Linked DNA regions of Neodiprion lecontei. The protein of the gene in region 1 purifies or fractionates together with the protein of each later gene. This does not show direct contact. Links are inferred from orthologs where the notes say so. Each region holds a gene or a part of one and is shown in the gene's direction. Other genes may lie near its edges.

The links. The genes of interacting proteins can lie anywhere in the genome.
Region 2: the proteins of flap endonuclease 1 (region 1) and cell cycle checkpoint protein RAD1 purify together in Homo sapiens (affinity purification with western blotting; 3 studies listed by BioGRID). This does not show direct contact. The link is inferred for Neodiprion lecontei from reciprocal best matches to the Homo sapiens genes FEN1 and RAD1.

What each region holds. Positions count from the first base shown.
Region 1 is NC_060262.1:23,979,524-23,983,282, reverse strand, and holds the start of flap endonuclease 1, read left to right. Parts: upstream 1-1,495; 5' UTR 1,496-1,708; coding exon 1,709-1,790; intron 1,791-2,290; coding exon 2,291-2,393; intron 2,394-3,030; coding exon 3,031-3,197; intron 3,198-3,300; coding exon 3,301-3,410; intron 3,411-3,759. UniProt on the Homo sapiens protein: Structure-specific nuclease with 5'-flap endonuclease and 5'-3' exonuclease activities involved in DNA replication and repair.
Region 2 is NC_060261.1:15,314,506-15,318,264, reverse strand, and holds cell cycle checkpoint protein RAD1, read left to right. Parts: upstream 1-1,361; 5' UTR 1,362-1,495; coding exon 1,496-1,588; intron 1,589-1,672; coding exon 1,673-1,897; intron 1,898-1,969; coding exon 1,970-2,164; intron 2,165-2,949; coding exon 2,950-3,225; intron 3,226-3,315; coding exon 3,316-3,345; 3' UTR 3,346-3,651; downstream 3,652-3,759. UniProt on the Homo sapiens protein: Component of the 9-1-1 cell-cycle checkpoint response complex that plays a major role in DNA repair. The 9-1-1 complex is recruited to DNA lesion upon damage by the RAD17-replication factor C (RFC) clamp loader complex.

The sequences.
Region 1 (3,759 bases):
GATGCATGATTATATGTATATGATAATGTATGATGTAAGATGATATGATATGATGTATAATGATTTTAGTTTTCACATTTCATACAAGAAATACGCACTTTATCTTTGCAGCAGATTCCATATTCAAGCGGCCAGGCCCTTCGATAGTCAGCCGTTGACTAAAGATATATTCTTCAGTTAACGGGTCAGCTAATAACGCTGCCGTTCTGCGGCAGTTGTATGATAAAAAATTTTGCTCACACCTTTCAAATGTGTGTTAAAATACACTTGAAGTTTTAAGCAGCTTCGTTCATTCTCTATCACCTTTTTAGGTCTTTAAATCAGGACACTGCGTTAAATACTGTCTCATATATGGAGTACCCATTTCATCTGGATCAAAATTAGCGCATCCGTGATGTATTACAGTTACTCTGAATTTTTTTCCATCCGAACGCTTTCCGAAAAACAATTCTGCGTCTCTACCCAACGTAGATACTTCACTTGCGACTAGCTGAAACAGCGTTTCGATTCTATGCCTACGAAGTTTCAAGATCGAGAGAGGAAATGAAAAGTTGTTGGAATAATTATGAATATTAATGTTATGGAATACATCGAGCGCGTGTCGAATAGAATCCCATTTCGAAATGAATTATTCTCCTATTTTCATATTATAGCCGTATTATTGTAGATAATCTAATTTGTCTCCTGGAAAATTATAAAATTTATAGTATGTATGCATTACGTATTAATCGTAAATGGATCATACAGTACGCTCTCATAATTTCACGTCTCACCCAGTTCTTGATAGCGAAGTCTTCCTCGTCTGGAGGGCACTATCAAAGTTAGCTTCAGAAAATTGTAATTCGCGGCGGAACTTCAAGCAAAGCGCTTAGTACCGACTTAGAGATATATGTATAGAGCGCAACACTGTAATGATTTATTTCGATTAAAACTAACTTTGGTTGATTATGAAAAATTTGTACAACGAATCTGTTTCTATGTCCTGCATGTTTTTTTTTTATTCACAATTTCACTTTGTGTAAAAAACCAACAGGCAGCTAAGGTTGTCCCTGGTCTGCGGGATCGGCGTTGTGTTTGGGTCATCAATCCAAGACTGGAAGTAGGAAGGCGACATTGTTATAGTAAAATCATCAAATTTATATAATCTTTATTTATTTAATATATAATAATAAATTAATAATTAATAATAAAATCAATTATTATTTTAATGATGATAATCGAAATTTATGACATTATTTTGTTAATGATATTATTACTATATTATGAATTTTGTGATGATGATGATGCCATGGAATACTGTATATTAGTACGATTAGTATATATCCTGTAGGTGCATTTCGGAACTAGCTGGCAGAGGTACCCACAAACTCGGCAGCACAAAAGACGTAACAGATGGTCGACAGTACTGGAAGCTAATTTCCCTGGAGCCTAGTAATTTCCGAACGCGCCTTATACATACATAGCTGTGCGGTTGGCAGCCTCTACTTCAAGTTCCGAAATGGCGGGTAAATGGTTTGGGAATAGCAAGAGTGAATAGTGGTTGGTTGCACGTATTGTGTTGCGGGACGAAAAATGCATTGTGTATACTGTGTGAATAATGAGATGTTGTTCAGAGCCACTTGATTGTGAAATTCTGCTCTTTTAAATTAATCCTTGCCTGAGAATACTCAACTTTCTCTAAGTTATCGAGTCAATATTGTCATAAGCCATGGGTATTTTGGGATTATCTAAATTGATCGCAGACGTCGCACCGTCGGCTGTAAAGGAAAAAGATATAAAGCACTATTTCGGTACGTAATATTAATATTAATATCAATAACAAAGTTCACACCGTTCCAGAAATATATTTTCAATTTACTTTGAATCCACTTGTTATACTCATACAATATTCTCTTTTAACCCTCACGAGGCGTACTATTGCGGCTTCCCGATTCACAATCAGTAAGCACATGGCTATGTCAATACCCGTGTGTCTTTAATCATTTATATATTACGATTTAAATAATCTATTTCAACTTTTTTTTTACAATTTAAAGATCAGACTGTGTAGAAAGAGATAGTGTTAACGGAATGATTATACAAAAAGAGTATTCTTGATATAACAGAAAGAACGAAAACGAATTCATTAAAGTTTGTCCAAATATAACTTCACCCCTGGGTATCTCAGTGCGCCTCTTGAGGGTTAAAATTAGTTTTGGTCTATCATATACAGCTCTTGATACCAACATCAATTTGTCGAATGGTTCAAGTTGCAAGTGTCATTTTGCCTATTAGTTGTATACTTTTGCAGGTCGTAAGATTGCCATTGATGCATCAATGTGTCTTTATCAGTTTCTCATTGCGGTGCGCAGCGAAGGGGCCCAGCTTACATCTATTGATGGCGAAACTACAAGGTATACCAGAAGTGTTGGTTTCTAATTTTCCTTCACAACGATAGCGGTTTTGTTAATGGGAAATTTGATGATTTAATTTAATATTGAACCAGGATTTTATCATAATTTATGTATGAATTTTTGTATTTAGATTTCATTTACCAATGTCTTTTTTTAAACCATATCTACTTGCACTACTCCATATTTGTTTCAGCTTTTCATTTTATTACTTATATTTATGAAAACCTCTCTCGTTCCATGTCTTTTTCCATGATTCTTACCAGGTAACAGATACCGGCAATTTGGCTCGTAAATCATATCTACTTTGTGGTTTTGGACATAAGATACAACTTTTTATGAAAAAACCCTATTGACGGCATAAAAAAGGCCAAACTTACTTGAATTACAGTCACAAATTCTAGACCCGCAACTTTTTGTTGAAGCAGATTTTTGTAATTATTATCAACACAACAGTTGCAACGATGTCTTTATTGGGAGTATCGTGATTTAAATTAATATTGCAAGATGAAAATTCAGTTTATTAGCTAATTTTCGTAGCTGACAAAAATTTAAATCGTATATTAATTATTAAAGTATTTTTTAATTTGTGCATGTAGTCCGACAATATTTAATTAAATCATTTGAATGATATTTACAGTCACTTGATGGGTATATTCTACAGAACGTTGCGCTTTATAGAACAGGGTATAAAGCCTGTTTATGTATTTGATGGTAAACCACCAAACTTGAAAGGTGGGGAATTGGCAAAACGTGCGGAGAAGAGAGATGAGGCGCAGAAAGCCTTAGAAGTTGCTGAAGCAGCTGGTAATCTAAATAGATTCCATCCTTTGACATTTTCTGTGCTTTAAAAAATGATTTATTGGGATACTAGGCCGCCATAGCTTATGTCATTTATCTTGTCAAATAGGAAATACTGAGGATATTCAAAAATTCAACAGAAGGCTAGTTAAAGTTACGAAGCAACATGCCGAAGATTCTAAACAACTCTTAAAGCTGATGGGTGTTCCATATATTGATGTAAGATTCTCATACATATAGCAATCTCAGAGCTCATTCAATTTTTAAGAGAGGTTTGGCGACTTTTATACTTTTCAACAGTCATGTAAAGTACAGTTACTATGAGTATCAGGATGGTTTTTAAAGATTTTCACGTTTCTAGTGGTATAAGTGGTGTGGTACAAAAAATTCCATACCACCTATTACAGAAAATTATGACGAATTCATACAGAATGTAACATATAGTTTTTGTTTGTTGAAGCAGAATTTAGGTGGAACAGTAAGAATTACCTCAACAAACTTTGTATTTTCTTTGCATTTGGCACTAGACAGAAACAAACATATGTGTATATTACAGTGGTTCACCATA
Region 2 (3,759 bases), on another chromosome or scaffold:
GTCACTTTCACATACTTTTACTCACAATCAGAGTAATGTTCGTTCGTCGGAAATTTCTTTTTCTGCTTCAACTGAAGTGGGTGTTAGCCTCAACCCTGACCGCTGCACACTGCCGGGGTCGCAGAATACCCCACGTCAAAAAAGTCTTGAAACATCTCCAGCAATGTTATTTTTTCCAGTGATAGTGAAGATGAATGAAAAAATATTCCTACTGCGCATTACAGATGAATTTGAGCAAATTGAAATAAAACAAGCTAAGACATCAACAATATGCAAACGTAAAAAAAAATTAAACCGTGCAAAATGATTAAACACTGTGATATTTTTTATCTCAATCCAACGATTTTGGGCTTATTATCTTCACAATAGAGATCTCCAGAGATTACCTAAAGAAAATTTTGCAATTAGTTAAATGTTGAATTTGTGTACTTACAGTACAATAGATTCTCGTCAACAATTATATTTGCACATTAATACTATGTCATAATGTAAGATTTCTTGAATGCTTTTCCCACGATTTCTGTTAAACAGCCACCATAGTGATTTTATGGTCAACAAAATAAGCTCAAAAATATTGGAATCAGATCATAAACACAGAGTTCATGACATTGCTGGAGATTTTTCTCTTTTCCTAACTTATTCAGATGGTGCGACTCATTCATCTTTGAACACATTTACTGATACCCACAGTTGCTATTGAATTCGCAAGCTTTGTATTCGAACATAACAGTCATTAATTGTTGAACAACGAGCATGATGAAATGTCTTTGGATGCAAAGTTACTTTTTATAAGTAAAAGCAAACCTCAGGGGGCCGACACAAGTTTATCGCTGGCATCAAAGCAGGTCCTGCATGAAGTCTATGAGAAGTTTGCAAGTGAAAATAAATGTACATCATATTTGTGATACATTTCCTTTTAATATTATCGTGGGAGAAATAGCCATGAAAATTTTGAAAAGTACTGTTCAAATCTCCCAATATTATTTGGTTGCATACTTAATTCATTCCATTTATTTAATGCTAGTTTCTGACGAATCGTTGCTGCGACTTTACGGCATATTTGGTTCAACTTTTGAGCGTGCTCTTGAGCTATACGAATTGGCAAGAGTAAAAAAGATTTGCGTTAAATCTGAGCCAGGAAATAGTGTGAATGATGCTCGGTGGCTATTGCAAGTGACAGGCATATCTGGTGAAATATATACATTATTTCCTGAAGTTAATTTCTGCAGCTGTGCATCATTCAGGTATACCATTAGATAAATAGACTGGCTAAGTCTTTCGAATTTCTGAAACTTTTTTGACTCAAGGGCTGAAAAATATTAATTATAAAAAATACATTACAGGTATCGTGTTCTCAATGATCAAGCAGAACATACATGTAAACATATTTTAGCAGCTTGGCTATCTTCTGTTGATAACGAGAAACTTTCTGTACAAGAAATTGCATCACCGCTGTTTCGTGATTTGATGAGGTTCCATGTAACATTTTGACAAAATGAGTCAAGACACTGCGATTTATCAATTAGTTGCAAAGCTGAAAAATCTTAAGACTGTTGTTCAACTACTGAAAGCGGTCAACTTCAAAGAGGTGTGCATGCTATTTTTGATGAAATTTATAACAGCATTCAGCTATGCAGCTAGAAACAAATGGTGTAATTCATAAAAATTTCAGACCGCTACATGTTTTGGCACATACAATGGACTGAAAGTAACGGTTGAGGATGCAAAATGTATGCAAGCAAGTGCGTATATTCCTACAGAAATATTTGAAGAATTCAATTTGAAAGAGGATGTGATATTCAGAATTAATTTGTCAGTATTAGTCGAGTGCCTGTGTATGTTTTGGGGAGAAATAAACACTCAGGGTAGCTCGGTTGCTCTGCAATTATTTTATAGGGTGGGTAGAAGTGAATACATAAGGTTTGTCACTTCAGAACGAAATCAGATTACAGCTCGATCTGAATTGCAGGGTGTTGGGTATCCTGTAACTGTACTCATTGAAGAAAACGGTATAGTGACTGATTGTTCGCTGAAGACTCAAGAACCAGATGAACTATTGGATTTCAATCTTGCTCAAGATAATGTATTGAACAAAGTATTACTCAAAACCGATTTACTCAAAGATGTTTTGTCGGAACTAGATCCAACCTGTGATGTGATAGAGGTAATTCATTAATGACAAATAGGCCGTATCATCTGAATCAAAAGCTGGGAAAAGAGAAAGAGCCATTTGAACAATTTCCAATAATGTAATTTGTGCCAATGATGGTGAACACCAATGCAACAACATTCTTACTCTGTAATAGATATACATCCGAGCAGATTACAGTATCATAAACTACGATATCAACAATTTTAGGAAGGATTTTATAATTAGAATGCTCAAAATAATTAAACGCAAGAATTTTGGATCTGATTCTAATGTTTTTAATTTCATTTTGCTCGCTGACCAGACTTCCACAAATTGTCAAAAAATATTCCCAAAATTTTACATTGTAGTAAAGTTACAGTGCACAAATGTAATTCTTGACAAACATTTGTTATACCCTACCTAAACACAACTCTGTTTTTATGTGGATTGGAGATTTTCATGGTCAACAAAATAATCCCAAAAAACAATAATCAATATTGGATCAAAAACACCAGAGTTTGATCATTCTAATTGTAAAGCCTTGTCTCAAATTGTTTATATTTAGGCTTATTTAATTCAAATCTGTGCAAATTGATTTCCATTACATAGATAAAGATATCGTTTCATTCGTGTTAAATATTCTTACCACGAATGACATTGCTGGAGATTTGTTGAACAGTATTTTTTTTCTCCTTTCCTAACATTTGGTTCAGGTGATACGATCTATTTATCCTTGAGTCTATCAACACGAGCCAACTAATCTAGACTTCCACGTCTTCTTCAATGGGCGATTGATGAATGTTAAAATTTTCTTTCAGCTTTTACTATCACCTGAACCGCCATACTTGAGAATAAGTACAGATGGAATAGCTGGAGAGTGCCAAGTCGAAGTACCTCGCGATAGTAACCTTATAGAAAGTTTTCAGTGCAGCACAACGGCCAGTTCATGTTATAAACTAACTCATTTCAAACCAGCTATGAAACCATTATCCTGTGCTATTATTGTGTCAATAAGAACAGACAAATATGGGCTGCTTTGTTTCCAGTACAAGGTCAAAGCAGAAGATGGCCACACGTGTTACGTAGAATATTACGTGAGTCGTACAGTTGTTTCAAAACTTAATCCAAGAACTGGGTAAACAACTGTGTATTTTACTTTTACTTTCAAACATTTTTTTTTGCAGATCTCTCCTGTTGTGGACATGGACGAGTGATATTATACTATCACGTATAAAGTTGAATATCGATTATTACTACCGTGTTCCACAAACTGGGTCATTTTTCTTATCTGCAGCCTCCAGAGGCTTGTAAGTTTAAGTACACTTTTGTTTCTTTGTAATTTATTTACTTATTAGAAGTTAAGTTTGGCAAATATGTCATTTGAGATAAGCAAGTTTTATATTTTAATATGCTTGTGTATTTATAACATGTGAATTCTGAACTGAACTGAATTCTCCGTGGTCAATTATCAGGCGTAATGTATAATGAAAGTCATTCGACGAGCAAATACATAAGGTTGTAAAAAAAACTAATCGTTCTTTCTCAGAAATAATGAATTTTTCGATGGAATATTATATGCAGGATTTCAAATCCCGTAGAAATTCGCGCTTTAATTTCAATGCAAAATT